Canis lupus familiaris: one gene and its partners. The main gene of each other region encodes a partner of the protein of the gene in region 2 in a complex. Links are inferred from orthologs where the notes say so. Each region holds a gene or a part of one and is shown on either strand. Other genes may lie near its edges.

Region 1 (4,236 bases), on a different chromosome or scaffold from region 2:
CACAAGTAGCTATGGGAAGGGATGGGGGGAGGGGAGGACAGGAACAGGATGTCCTTCCCTGACATGTCCATAACCAGCCTAAATGTTTAATTTTTTTTTCCCCACAACCATCAGGTCTGGTCTTCCAGAAGTCCATTCCACAAAACAAAAGAATTACTAATAACTCATCATGAGGACAAGATAAGGGCTTCATTTCATTATGTGTTAAATTTTTCCAGGCGCCTTCCTTTCATTGTGTTTGCAGCGTGAACTCATCGTGACATAATTTCAGGGGCTTCGGAGGATAACACTTAACAGAGAAACCCTTGAAAGGGACTTTGGTGCACCTTTGGTGGGGCTAAGCCGGTGAACCAGGGGAGAACCTGGAACCGGGACAAGTGAAAAGGGAGAAGCGCCTGGATACCTAGGACTGTTGCAGAGAAGAGAAGGGGACTTTGTTCTCTCGGGGAGCGGGGAGCGGGGAGCGTTGATCTAAAGCACTGTGAGAATTGATCAGGTGCCTGGCAACCTCCCTTTGAACGACAGGAACCGTGTCATTGACCTCTACATCCACAGTGACAGAAATAACCGACAACCAAATATCTACTGAGTTGGACTGAGTAAGAACTGCGCGGGAAAAGGTAGGCGAAAGGAGACGGAAACAACAGCCTTGGGCAGGGGAAGCTTTCCGGGGTCAGGACTGTTGCAAGACTGCAGGAGAAGGGGACTGCGGCCGAGCAGGGCTTCAGAGGCGAGGCGCCGGCCACCCAGAATATAGAAGCTGGAAGGGGGTGGGGGGGTGCAGGAGAGAGGGGTGGTTAGAGTTCTTATTCGTGGAAACTGAGCAGGCAACAGGTCTGAACCCCCGAGAGAAAACGAAAGAGGAGCGACAGCGGTAAGCAGGCATCCAGACTCGAGGAGTGGCCGCAGCCACGGGGAGCGGAGCCCAGCTAGCGGGCGATCCCCGGTCCAGCGGCCGGACCTCCGAGCCCCGCCCCGCGCCGAGCCTGCTCCTCAGCAGAACCACCAGGAAGCCCCGAGAGATGGGCAGCTCAGCCTGGTATCTTGGCGCGACAACTTCCGTGTGTGCGTGTGTGTGTGTGTGTGCAACAGGGCGCGCCGCCTGAGAACTTCCGCGTGCGAGGAGGCGGGGGGACTGGCGAGGAAACCCGCGCGCTCCGGGCCGGCGGGCGCCCCCCCTGCCCCCCCTGCCCCCCCGCCGCGCGCAGGGGCGGACCCGGCGGACCCGGGGGGGCGGGGCTGCGGCCGCGCCCCAGCCGCGGGCAGCCCCACAGGCCGCCGCCGCCGCCGCCGCCGCCGCCGCGCTCGCCGCCGCCACGCCCCGCGACTACATTTCCCAGCAAGCCCCGGGCCTCCCGCGCGCCGCAGTTGACCCATTTCCCGGCCCGTCCCGGGCTCGGCCGGCCCCCGCGCCCAGGCGGCTGCTCCCTGCTGACTGGGGTGTGGGCGGGGAGCGGCGGAGGCAGGAGGAGGCGCTGCTGGCCGCCGCCGTTGCCTCCGCTGCTGGGCGCCTGGGCAGCTCCCGGGGTTCCTGCGGCCGCCATGGACGAGCAGGCGGGTCCCGGCGTCTTCTTCAGCAACAACCACCCGGGCGCCGGCGGTGCCAAGAGTCTCGGGCCTCTGGCGGAGGCTGCCGCGGCTGGCGACGGGGCGGCTGCGGCGGGGGCGGCGCGAGCCCAGTACAGCCTCCCCGGGATCCTGCACTTCCTGCAGCACGAGTGGGCCCGCTTCGAGGTGGAGAGAGCCCAGTGGGAGGTGGAGCGGGCGGAGCTGCAGGTAAAGACCCTCCCGGCCTGGCCCTCCTCATCCCGCCTCTTCGCTGCCTTCCGCCCCGCCCAGGACCCTTCCCCCTTCCCCCCTCCCCTCCCCCCCGCTCGTCCCCTCCCCCTTTGCCTCCCGCCCAGCCCACCCACCACCGCGCCCCTTTACCCCCTTCACCTTTGCCTTTCGCTGACCCCACTTCCTCGACCGGCGTCCCATTCCCGCCCTCGATGCGTTGTTTACCCTCCCCGCTCCTTTCCGTCTGCTCCTTCTCACTCTTAACTCCGTCTCCTTTCAACTCTCTCGCCGTCCCACATTTCAGGTCGTCCCTTTCGGTTTACTAATTGGGCTGACAGTAGTTTCTGAGAGACGTCGAGCAAATCATCCTCTGCCCCAGTGAGTCCCATCCTAGGTCTAGCGATGTTCCTTGCGAAAGGTATTGGTAGTTGGCTCCTGTCTCTGGAAAGAAGGTGATGAAGACAGCACCGAGTCGTGTCCGTGGGGCCTTGACTTGAGGCGAGGAGCTCATGTTGGGCCAAAGTATCAATAGGAATATCAGGTCCTTTTTGGATGTCTGGAAATGTTTTTCTCTCTCCTCTTCCTTACCTCCTCCCGCGTTCCTTTTAGGTATTTCAGGTTCACGGATTTCGATGGAAGGACCCAGATGATCACAGTCAGGTGATGGTTCGGGGATGGTTTCCTGTCCTCGGAATCTGAAACTTGCCAAGGGTTAATTTTATGTCCAGTGCTTAGTGAGATTGGCTTGTACCTTGAAAGGAACTAAGAGGGACTCTAAAGTTGGTTACATTTCCCTTGCATAATCTGCGAGATAAAGTATATCCAGGAAGGAGCTGTTGTGGGCTCTTAGCAGAAAGTGAGGCTGATAGTTTACTGGCCCTTCTGAATTGCTAAGTGGGTTTCAGTGGCTCGTTCTTAAAACTACCAAGGCATGCACCAATTTCACAAGGAACTTAACTGAGTAGTAGCTCTGCCTTTCTGTTTTACTGGCTAATCCTGTGTGCTTAGGAAATCTGAGTATAGTTTTGGTTGGTGAAACACTTGAAGTTAAAACGCTACCCAGTGTGTCACTTTTTTTGGTAACGTGTATTTTCTTTGGCACTTAAAAAAAAAGGAGAAATCTGTTAAATAGAATCATGTGCTGGAACAGGGTGTTTTGGCGTAGTGGAAGTGGCTGTGGAAAGAGGGAGTAGACCGACTTACAGTACCTAATCGCTGCGCTTGCTGCTAGCACTGACCTTGAGGAAATCCTTTGGCCTCTCCGAACTTGTTTCATCTTTTATTTATTCAGTACATTTATTGAGCGCCAGCTGTGTGCCTCTAGGCCCTGGTATTAACAAAACTGACAGCAACTCTGCCCTCATAGAGCTTACATTTTAGTAGGCAGGCAAAGTCAGCAAATGCAAGTGTATAATATACTGAACCTAGTGGCAACTTGGATGAGAAAAATAAATCAGGCACAGGAAATAGAGTGCGATAGGGCAGCTATTTTATTTTAGATGTGGTCGTTAAGGAAGGCCTCTGGGAGGAGTTGAATGAATCAAGGCAATGACCCATAGTTATTAAAATTTTTTCTCTTTCTTTATTTCTACAATTGTATGTTTATATTCTTTGGCAGCTTTTTTATTTCTACTGTTAGGTACTTCAGTATCTAGTCTATGATATTTGTAATTTTTCTCAAAATAAATGTGACCATAATATATAAATATTATATATTTATAAATAACAAGCAGACTTACCTGCCTTTTCTAATTTATTAGTAATTCACTTTATTAGTAATGTGTTCTGTAAATGGGCTTGTGGATTTCAGACTTCAAAAAAGTGTGAAAGGTAGGCTTTAATTTTTGACATTATTCAGGTGTGAAGAATGATTTTTGTATGTGACTGCTTAAATTTTAATTTCCAGTTTAGGGAAGGTGAGTCACACTAATTCGGTCAAAAGCAAGATAATTCTTCTTACTTGTAGAGGTTTGGGAATTTCCAGCTCCTCTCACCCCTTGTCAGATCTCCCAGTGCTCCTCATCCACTCCTCCATTTTAACTTTTCAGTTTACCTGTGGTATTAATTGTAGTCACTCTTCAGTTTTATTTTTTCTTTAAGATTTTATTTATTTATTTATTTATTCACGAGAGACACAGAAAGAGAGGCTGAGACACAGCAGCGGGGAGAGAAGCAGGCTGCATGCAAGGAGCCCTATCCCCGGACTCGATCCCCGGAATCCAGGATCAGGCCCTGGGCCAAAGGCAGACGCTCAACCGTTGAGCCACCCAGGCATCCCTACTCTTCAGTTTTAAACACACACACACAGGCATGTGGGCACGCTACTTCCCGGGTTATTTATGGCAAATGTTAAAGTTCAAGTAGGTTTCCCATTGGTGCTCATCACCTTGAAGGCACTACATTTTTACAGTATATTTGGTTTGCGCTCAGGTTAACTTAAGCATCTGTGGAGGAACG
Region 2 (3,510 bases):
GGATCACCCAGAAGACCAGGCTCAGCACAAATAAAAAAAATCAGTGTGGGGCCCAGAAAGATGCAGGTCTAGGAAACTTCAAGTACTGCTTTCCCACAATGAAAAGCTATACTGGGGGGCCTCTCTATGAAGGAGAGAGGGTAGAGTTCTCAAACCCAGAGAAGATACAGGGGAGGGGGGAGGTGTGAACCTCCTAAAATCACTGTACTTTTAGGAGAGGCTCTAGAGTTTTCATCAGATATTCAAAGGGATCCACAATTCCAAAAGGGTTAAAAGTTGTGGATACAGAATCAATCCTTGTGCTGTAGCTACATGGATCCCTATGAAATTAACTCCATTTCACCTCTACTGAGAACAAGGGCTGGGATTGGCTCTGACACACCTCTGGGTTCCCAAGGCCCATAGCTGGTACTCATGTTTGTGGAATGAACAAACTGCACAGTAGCCATTTTCCATTTCTCTTTGTCAAAATCCAGATCCACTGCCACCTCCTCCAGGAAGCCTTCACTGACAGCTCCCCCATCCCATCTGAAACAGGTGAAGGGCTTCCTCCAGGTTCTAAGGTCCCCCAGCTTCTCTCTTATCCAGCTCTAATCAGCCTGTAGAGCAACTGAGAGCCCCATGGGAGGGTAGTAGAAAGGAGCAGCAGTGGTTAAGAGGCAGGGGACTGGGTTCAAATCCTGACGGTCTCTTCTCAGCTCAGTCAATTCTCGTAAACCAGACCTTGAGCCTGTTTCCTCATCTGTGAACTGGGGCTGGTACGAGTATGTATATCACAGGGTCACTGAGGGACATGACAGGTGACTGTGTGGAAGGTACCTACAGGTACCAAGGAGCACTAGCATTCGGACCTGGGACCTGGCCTCTGGGTTTCCAGTGCTCCCTGGACCAGGGCCCTCAGGATGTGTCTGCCAGCTGTTGTGAACATCATGAACACCAGCCCCAGAGGCCTTGTGACTCTCCCTCAAAGTAAGTGTGGGATGACCCTGACCTTGTAAGGGAAGGACTCCAGGGTTCCAGTCCTGCTCCCCAGCAAGCCTGAGTCTTATACCACCTGAGGGCCCAAGGGACCCTTGTTAAAGCTACAGGATCAGCGTTTTCTGTTCCCAAGTCCTTTGAGGTGCTGCTGAAAGCCACAAATTCTCTCAGAAAAACTGATAAATGTTAGGGCTTGCAGAAAGTTTCATGGGACACACAGGACCCTTTTCAGGCTGGTCCCCAGACCTCATCATGTTCCTTGTGTTAAACAGCCCTAATCTGTGTAAAATGTAGGAAATGATCACATTTGCATACAATTGTCTACGTATACATACACATCAATTATACACGCACACACAGATGAAAGCTGACAGACTAGAATTTAATGACAATTATCCAATTTCTTCAGACCTAATACTGCTTGGAAGAAAAGTTACCATATCTGCTCAAACCCCAAATTCCTCCAATTTTAAGAAGTGCCATTATTTCACACAATGCAAGGAGGAAGAAGGCTGCTAATGAAAAGTGTTAAGGCATCATTAAGCGCAGATGTCAAATATAAAGCTGTATCTTTAGAAACCATGACATACAGAATTATTGGGGCAGGGGTGAGGGGAGGGAAGCAGGTTGTAGCAGTGGCCGCGGGCTCTGAGGAACAATGAAAACCAGGGGACTGGGAAAGCCCTGAGGCTTCTCCTTCCCAGATCACAGGACTGGACTCTTTCCCTGGTGACAATGGAATTCTCCTTTCTCTTCTCACAAATAGCAGTTACTATTAATATCTGACCCATCTTTGTGTCCCTAGCCATCACCAAGCACAGGGGTGCATAGGCAGGCACCTAGAATCCCAACTCTGCTACTGACTGTGAGGCCTTGACCAAGACACTTAACCTCTCAGATGCCCAGTGGCTCATCTACAAAATAGAAATGTCTCTACCCCAAAGGGTGGACATGACTTCAAAACATACAGCTTAATGACACTGGCAGCTAACACCTGATGGTACTTGCCATGTGCCAACGGCTTAAATTAATTTTTTGGGGGGGCTTAAATTAATTATAAAGATGTTTTAATGACTCCCATTTTACGGATGAGTAAAGTTTAACAGAGAGGTTAAGTAACTCTTACAAGTCACACAGCAAAGAAGTGGTAGTACTCAGATGGCTTCCACACCCAGAGCCCTATATGTACAGTGCCAGGTAGGGCCTGGCACTGGTCAGGCATACCCAGCTAACAGGAAGGTAAACAAGTACATCTTTGGTATTGCTATATGAATGCCACTACTAATCTGCTGGATTAAAGAGAATGTCCAAGGCTTGCCTGTTCCTTGAAGGTGACCCCCAAACGGGTGGGCAAGGGGACCTCCCTGCCTCCCAGACTCACCAGCAGGCAGTGGACGTACTCGGGGCCTCCCACCAGCGTGGTGAAGGTTCCCAGCTGTTCCGCCAGGGCCAAGAGGACCTCATCCTCATCGTAGATGGTATCTGGGGAACCAAGACAGACTCTGTTATAGCCCCACCCCAAAGCTGACCCAAGATTCTGGGTAACCCAAGCTGGGAGCAAGCAGGCTCCATTCTGTAAGCACTCAGTCTCTCCACCCTCTACTTGAGCTGGTACACAGATCGGAGATGCAGACTTGGGTCAGGAACAGAGCACCAAAGGCCGCCTTCTGCCCTTCACTAGGTGAGGGACACTGGGGGAGTGAAACCAGTCTGCAAACCCACTTCTGCACCTGCACGCACTTCTCTGAGGGAGAATTACAGAGGAGCACACAAAACCATGCATATAGGCACAGAGCCTGGTCAATGGGGGCTTTTCGCTTTGGTTCAGCTTCTTTCTTCAGCACTGCCCTCTATGCCAAGAATTAATTTTTCTCTTTAGCCTGAGAAATTCTCCATCCTTCTAGACTCAGTTCAGATTTCCTGACCAGACCAGAGCACATCCTTTCTCTACACTCCCCTCAACCCCAAGTCACCTTTATGAGAGTCCTTATATTTGGAGTCCAGGACTGGCTCTTCTCTGTACCCCAGTTTCTGCTAGAGATGAGCACAGTAGTTCAGTCCAGGTGTGCTAAAAGAACGGATGACTATGTAAAGACAGAGCTGCTGAGTCCTAATGCTCAACCCAAAGGCCTTTTTCAACTGCTGACCCATATGGCAGAAGATGCTTCCAGTAGGAACTGCTGACTGCTATGGCAGAAGACGCTAGCATCCCTGGCCTCTATGCTGGCATTTCAACTTTCTGAGATTAAGCCAAGCATACAGCAACCCAGCCAGGCATCCCAGGCCCCCCTGCAGCTGGAATGCCAAGTGACCATGCTCTGGTCAATGCTACTTCTATTCACACGTTCAAGCTCTGAGTCGCTTCCTCACCACCACCCTCTAAGCTCTTGGGGCTGTCATCATCTTCCTCATCTTGGGGTGGTTCTCTGCTCTCTCTTGGCTGAGTGTATGGCCATTCACTTCACCTGTGAGTCTGTTTTCTCACCCTACATCCCAACAGAGCTGTGTGAAACCAAAGTGAAGTGATGTTTT
Region 3 (4,085 bases), on a different chromosome or scaffold from region 2:
GGCAGAGTCTCCAGCAGGCTCCCTGCTGAGCGCGGCTCCATCCCGCTGACACCAAGGCCTGAGCTGGGGCCAACAGTCGGTCGCTCAACCCACGGAGGCCCCAGGTGCCCCAGCATAGAGTTTTTGTTTTTTATTCTTATTTTTTAAAGAGTTTATTTATTCGTGAGAGAGAGAGGGGGAGAGGCAGGCCCCGTGCAGGGAGCCCGACGTGGGGCTCGATCCGGTCTCCGGGTCACACCGGGGCTGAAGGCGGCGCTGAACGCTGGGCCCCCCGGGCTGCATGGTTTTGAAGGCTCGTGTTGTAACGCGTGTCAGAACTCAGTTCCTTTTCTGTTTCATCGCATTTCGCGTAACTTACAACACGCAAACGATTACCCGCGTCAGCAGTTCTGAGGACTGAGCGCCCGGCGTCCAGGGCCCTCGCCTCGCGGAGAAGCCGCGGCGCCGATCGCTGACCCCCAGGCCCGGTGCCCGCCCCCGCCCCGGTCCCGGCTCCCTGCAAAGCCGACCCCGCGGGGCTTCCCCACCTGCGCCGTGGCGTCGCCCGCCCTGTCCGCTGGTCTCCCCCAGCCCGTCCCCAGGCCGTCCCGCGGCTCCAGGCCACAGGGTCCCTCCTTCCCCAGGCTGGTGCTCCCCGGCCTGCGCGCAGCACCGCTCGCTCCTCGCTCCTCCATCAGCCGCCGCGGAGATGCCCGGGCCGCGCGGCCGGGCAGGGCCTGGGAACAGGCGGCACCTCCCAAGGCGGCGGAGGGGACGGAAGGGAGGAGGGGGGTCGGGTGGGGGTCGCGGGGCGGGGGGAGGGGAGGGGCCGCGGGAGGACGCTCGGCCGGGGGCCGCCCCAACCCCGGGCTGCACGCCCCGCCCCGGCCCCGCCCCGGCCCCGCCCGCCCCCGGCCCCGCCCCGCCCCGCGGCCTGCTGGGAGACGTGGTCCGCGGCCGCTCAGGAAGCCCGACTCCGAGTCCCGGCGAGCCCCGCGACACCGCCCTGCCGCGAGGCTTACCGGGACTTGTAGTCCAGCGCCCGCGGGCACCGGGACGCGCGGCGAGCGGCGGAACTCGGTGTCCCAGAGACCCCCGCGCTGGGCCACGACGTCGCGCGCCCTCTCGCCGTCGCCGCCGCTGGGCTTTCTCCGGCCGCCGCCGTCACTGCCGCTGCTCCGGGGCTGGAGGGCCCGGGCGTCCCCGGGCGCGAGGAGGCTGCGGGTGGGAGCCTTCGCGGGCGCTGAGGAGCGGGCCGGGGGAGGCCGGGATGGAGCCCCCCGGAGGTGGGCGCGCTGCCGGGTGGGCCCGCGCCTGGGGCGGTTGGGCGGGGGCCGGGCGGTGGTCGGCGGCGGGGCGGGCGGCGGGGGCCGGGGGCGAGCGGGGGGCGCCGGGGCCGGGGCGGGGCTCGCGGGGGGCGGGGCCGGGGTCGGGGCGGGGGGCGGGGCCTGCCGGGGGCTCGCGGGGGGCGGCGGGGTCGGGGCGGGGTCGGGGCCGGGGTCGGGTCGGGGCGGGGCGTGGGCGTGGGCGTGAGCGCGCGGTCCTTGCAGCGGCCTAGGCGGGCGGCCGGGCTCCGGAGCGGCGGGCGGGGTCTCGGGCCGCCGGAGGCCGCGGACGGTCGGAGGGCGTCGCGGACATGGCTCACCTGCGGGGATTCGCCAACCAGGTAGGAGGCCGGGCCGGGCCGGGCGGGGCGGGCGGGGCGGGCGGGGCCGGGCGCGCCCCGGAGGACGGCGGCTCGCGGGGCCGGGCGAGGCGGGTCCTGCCTGTGCCCGAGCCGCCCCCCGGCCTGGAGCCGCGCCTCCACCTGCTCCCGGTGCCGGTGCCGCGAGCTGCGACGCCCCGGGAAGGACACCCGCCGCCCGCGCCGCCGGCCCCGAGCAGACGCGCCCGTTTGGAAAAGAATCATCGGGTTGAAGGAGACGAGCTCGCTTCCGTGGCGGCCGCTCCCCGCCTGGGCCGCGGCGACCCGCTGCCCTGCCCCGTGACCAGAAGCGCGGCCGGCCCTGCCCGCAGCCCGGGGCCGCCCGGAACCAAGCACCGCGTCTTGCCGAAGCGGACAAGCTCTCCTAGCCCGAGAGGAAAGAGGGCCGCTGGCGGAGGCGCTCCCGGGCCCCAGAAGCAGCCGTCGGGGCGAGGGGTCTCTGTGCCCGGGCTGACCGCGGTGGGCGGCCGGGCCACCCCTGCTGCGGGGCGCAGGGCTGGGGGCGCGGGGCAGGGCCCCAAGGGGGAAGCCGTCGTCCTTTAGAGGCCAGCACACGTGGCCTTTGTCCGGGGCGGGAAGCCTGATTTTCTCAAGACACTTGTGCTGTGACCCCGTGGGGCGCCCCTGCCTAGCCCGAGGGTCCCCGCCAGCTGGTTCCCGCCCTGCCTGCTGCCTGGTGGTGGGAGTGGCCTCGCTCCCTTCATCTTGTGGGGCCACAGACCTGGCCTGCTGCAGGGCTGGGGGACAAGGGTCTCAAGTCTCAGGTCACTCAAGCCTTGAGGGATCGTCCAGACCGTGTGCTGTGCGTGGCCTAGAAAAGCAGCCGAGACGCAGGAGCTACGCACCTTCAGCCAGGGGGCTGGAGCGGGTGGTCCCTGTGATGTGCTTGTGCTATCGGGCCTCGGGGCGAGGGTTGGGGTCGAGGCCTGGAGCTGCGGCTCAGGGCTCCGCGTGTGCTCCCCCGGGCCAGGGGGGTCCAAGCGCCCCGTGTGGGGTCTCCCTGGTTGGGCTGTCGTGGTGAACCGACCCAGCTCTGGGCCCTCCTGGACAGTGACATAGTGTCCTCAGCAGGGCTGACGGGAGCAGAGGCACGGGACGCGTCGCCCACGGAGGCCTGAGGGTGCAGAGGGGACCCCAAGGCACAGCGGTGCTGACTGGTGCTGCCAGGTTTTCTTAGGACAGAGAACACAGCGCCACGGCACCAGCTGGACCACAATCCCTGGGCAGCCCCCACGCCCACGCCTGGGGCGCTGAACACATGGGCCCAGGTGGCCAGGTCCCCTGTGACGTCCAGGACTGAGCAGGGGATCGCGAGCTTCCCCCCAGAGGCGGAGGGCGCTCTCCCGGCAGACGGCCTTTTCCTGCTGCCCAGGAGTTGCTGGCAGACCCCAGCCAGGCCTCTGAGGTCGGGGTGGGTGCTAATCGTGGGATCCACGTCCCCGTCCGCACACTGCAGACAGCCAAGCAGCTGTGACTCACGGCCACGTGCCTAAGTGGCCTTGGGTTTCTCCAGAGCGTGTGCAGCAGGAACAGGTGCGTGGTGGGTGGTCCCCACGCCCGCTCCGGGCTGGTCTCGGCTCTGCTGAGGACAGAAGACAGCGCCTCACCGGCCCGGCGGGAGGCCCGCACGTCCATCGGCCCTGCCCCGAAGGCTGTGCTGCAGCACAGCCCACGGCCCGTGACCCGGAGTCCCAGCCGGGAGTCCCCGCCCCCGGCTCCCGCAGGTGCCCGGCGCGGGCGGCCCTCAGTCCTCTGCCTGGAGCTCAGCCGCAGTGGGGAAGGGGCCGTGCGTGCCGCGTGGGCCTGCGCACCGTGGGCGAGGCCGCTGGAGTCCCCGAGCTCTGGCTGGCGGGGAGCCGAGGGGGCTCGTGTGCGTGGAGGACCCTCCTCGGCGCTGTGGGCACCCAGCAACCCCGGGCGGGCCTTCCCTCACAGGGCCCACGGCAGTCGGGGCCGATGGGGCTCGGGGAGCTGGATTTGATTCCTTTTCACGCGTGGCTGCTTTAGACGCCCTCCTGTGACAGGCGCGTGGGCTGTGGGAGCAGGGCCTTCTGGCGGAGGCGCCTCCTGCGGGATGGGAGTCGCGGAGCCTCAGGAAGGCCCTTCTGCCCCCGTCTGGGCAGGACGCCAGGCCCCAGCCTCGGCTCCCACACTCGGCCCCGGGCCTCGGCCCTGCGGGGCTGGGGGCTCCCGGGGACCCCGTGGGTTGCCTCAGGGCCAGTAGTGGCCTGCGCCCTGGAGCCCGGGGCATCAGCGCCCCTCTCGGAGACCCCGTGGAGCTCTGTTCCCCGTGTCCCGGTGCCCAGGCCGCAGGGTGCTCGCTGGGCCTCAGTTTCCATCTGAGGCCCGAGTGCGGTAGTCTCCCGAGATCCAGGGTTAAGCACCCGGAAAGCCTTGGTTT

Evidence for each region. The genes of interacting proteins can lie anywhere in the genome.
Region 1: PPP2R1A (region 2) and STRN share a complex: the UniProt entries of both Homo sapiens proteins name them as parts of the core of STRIPAK complex. The link is inferred for Canis lupus familiaris from reciprocal best matches to the Homo sapiens genes PPP2R1A and STRN.
Region 3: PPP2R1A (region 2) and STK25 share a complex: the UniProt entries of both Homo sapiens proteins name them as parts of the core of STRIPAK complex. The link is inferred for Canis lupus familiaris from reciprocal best matches to the Homo sapiens genes PPP2R1A and STK25.

What each region holds. Positions count from the first base shown.
Region 1 is NC_049238.1:29,519,651-29,523,886, reverse strand, and holds the start of STRN (striatin), read left to right. Parts: upstream 1-1,433; 5' UTR 1,434-1,542; coding exon 1,543-1,776; intron 1,777-4,236. UniProt on the Homo sapiens protein: Calmodulin-binding scaffolding protein which is the center of the striatin-interacting phosphatase and kinase (STRIPAK) complexes.
Region 2 is NC_049222.1:105,616,387-105,619,896, forward strand, and holds part of PPP2R1A (serine/threonine-protein phosphatase 2A 65 kDa regulatory subunit A alpha isoform), read right to left. Parts: intron 2,461-3,510; coding exon 2,360-2,460; intron 1-2,359. UniProt on the Homo sapiens protein: The PR65 subunit of protein phosphatase 2A serves as a scaffolding molecule to coordinate the assembly of the catalytic subunit and a variable regulatory B subunit.
Region 3 is NC_049246.1:51,489,563-51,493,647, reverse strand, and holds the start of STK25 (serine/threonine-protein kinase 25), read left to right. Parts: upstream 1-1,293; intron 1,294-1,529; 5' UTR 1,530-1,543; coding exon of another isoform or gene 1,544-1,615; coding exon 1,616-1,645; intron 1,646-4,085. Other genes in the region: EZH inhibitory protein-like, read right to left, coding at 1,002-1,293, 1,544-1,617. UniProt on the Homo sapiens protein: Oxidant stress-activated serine/threonine kinase that may play a role in the response to environmental stress.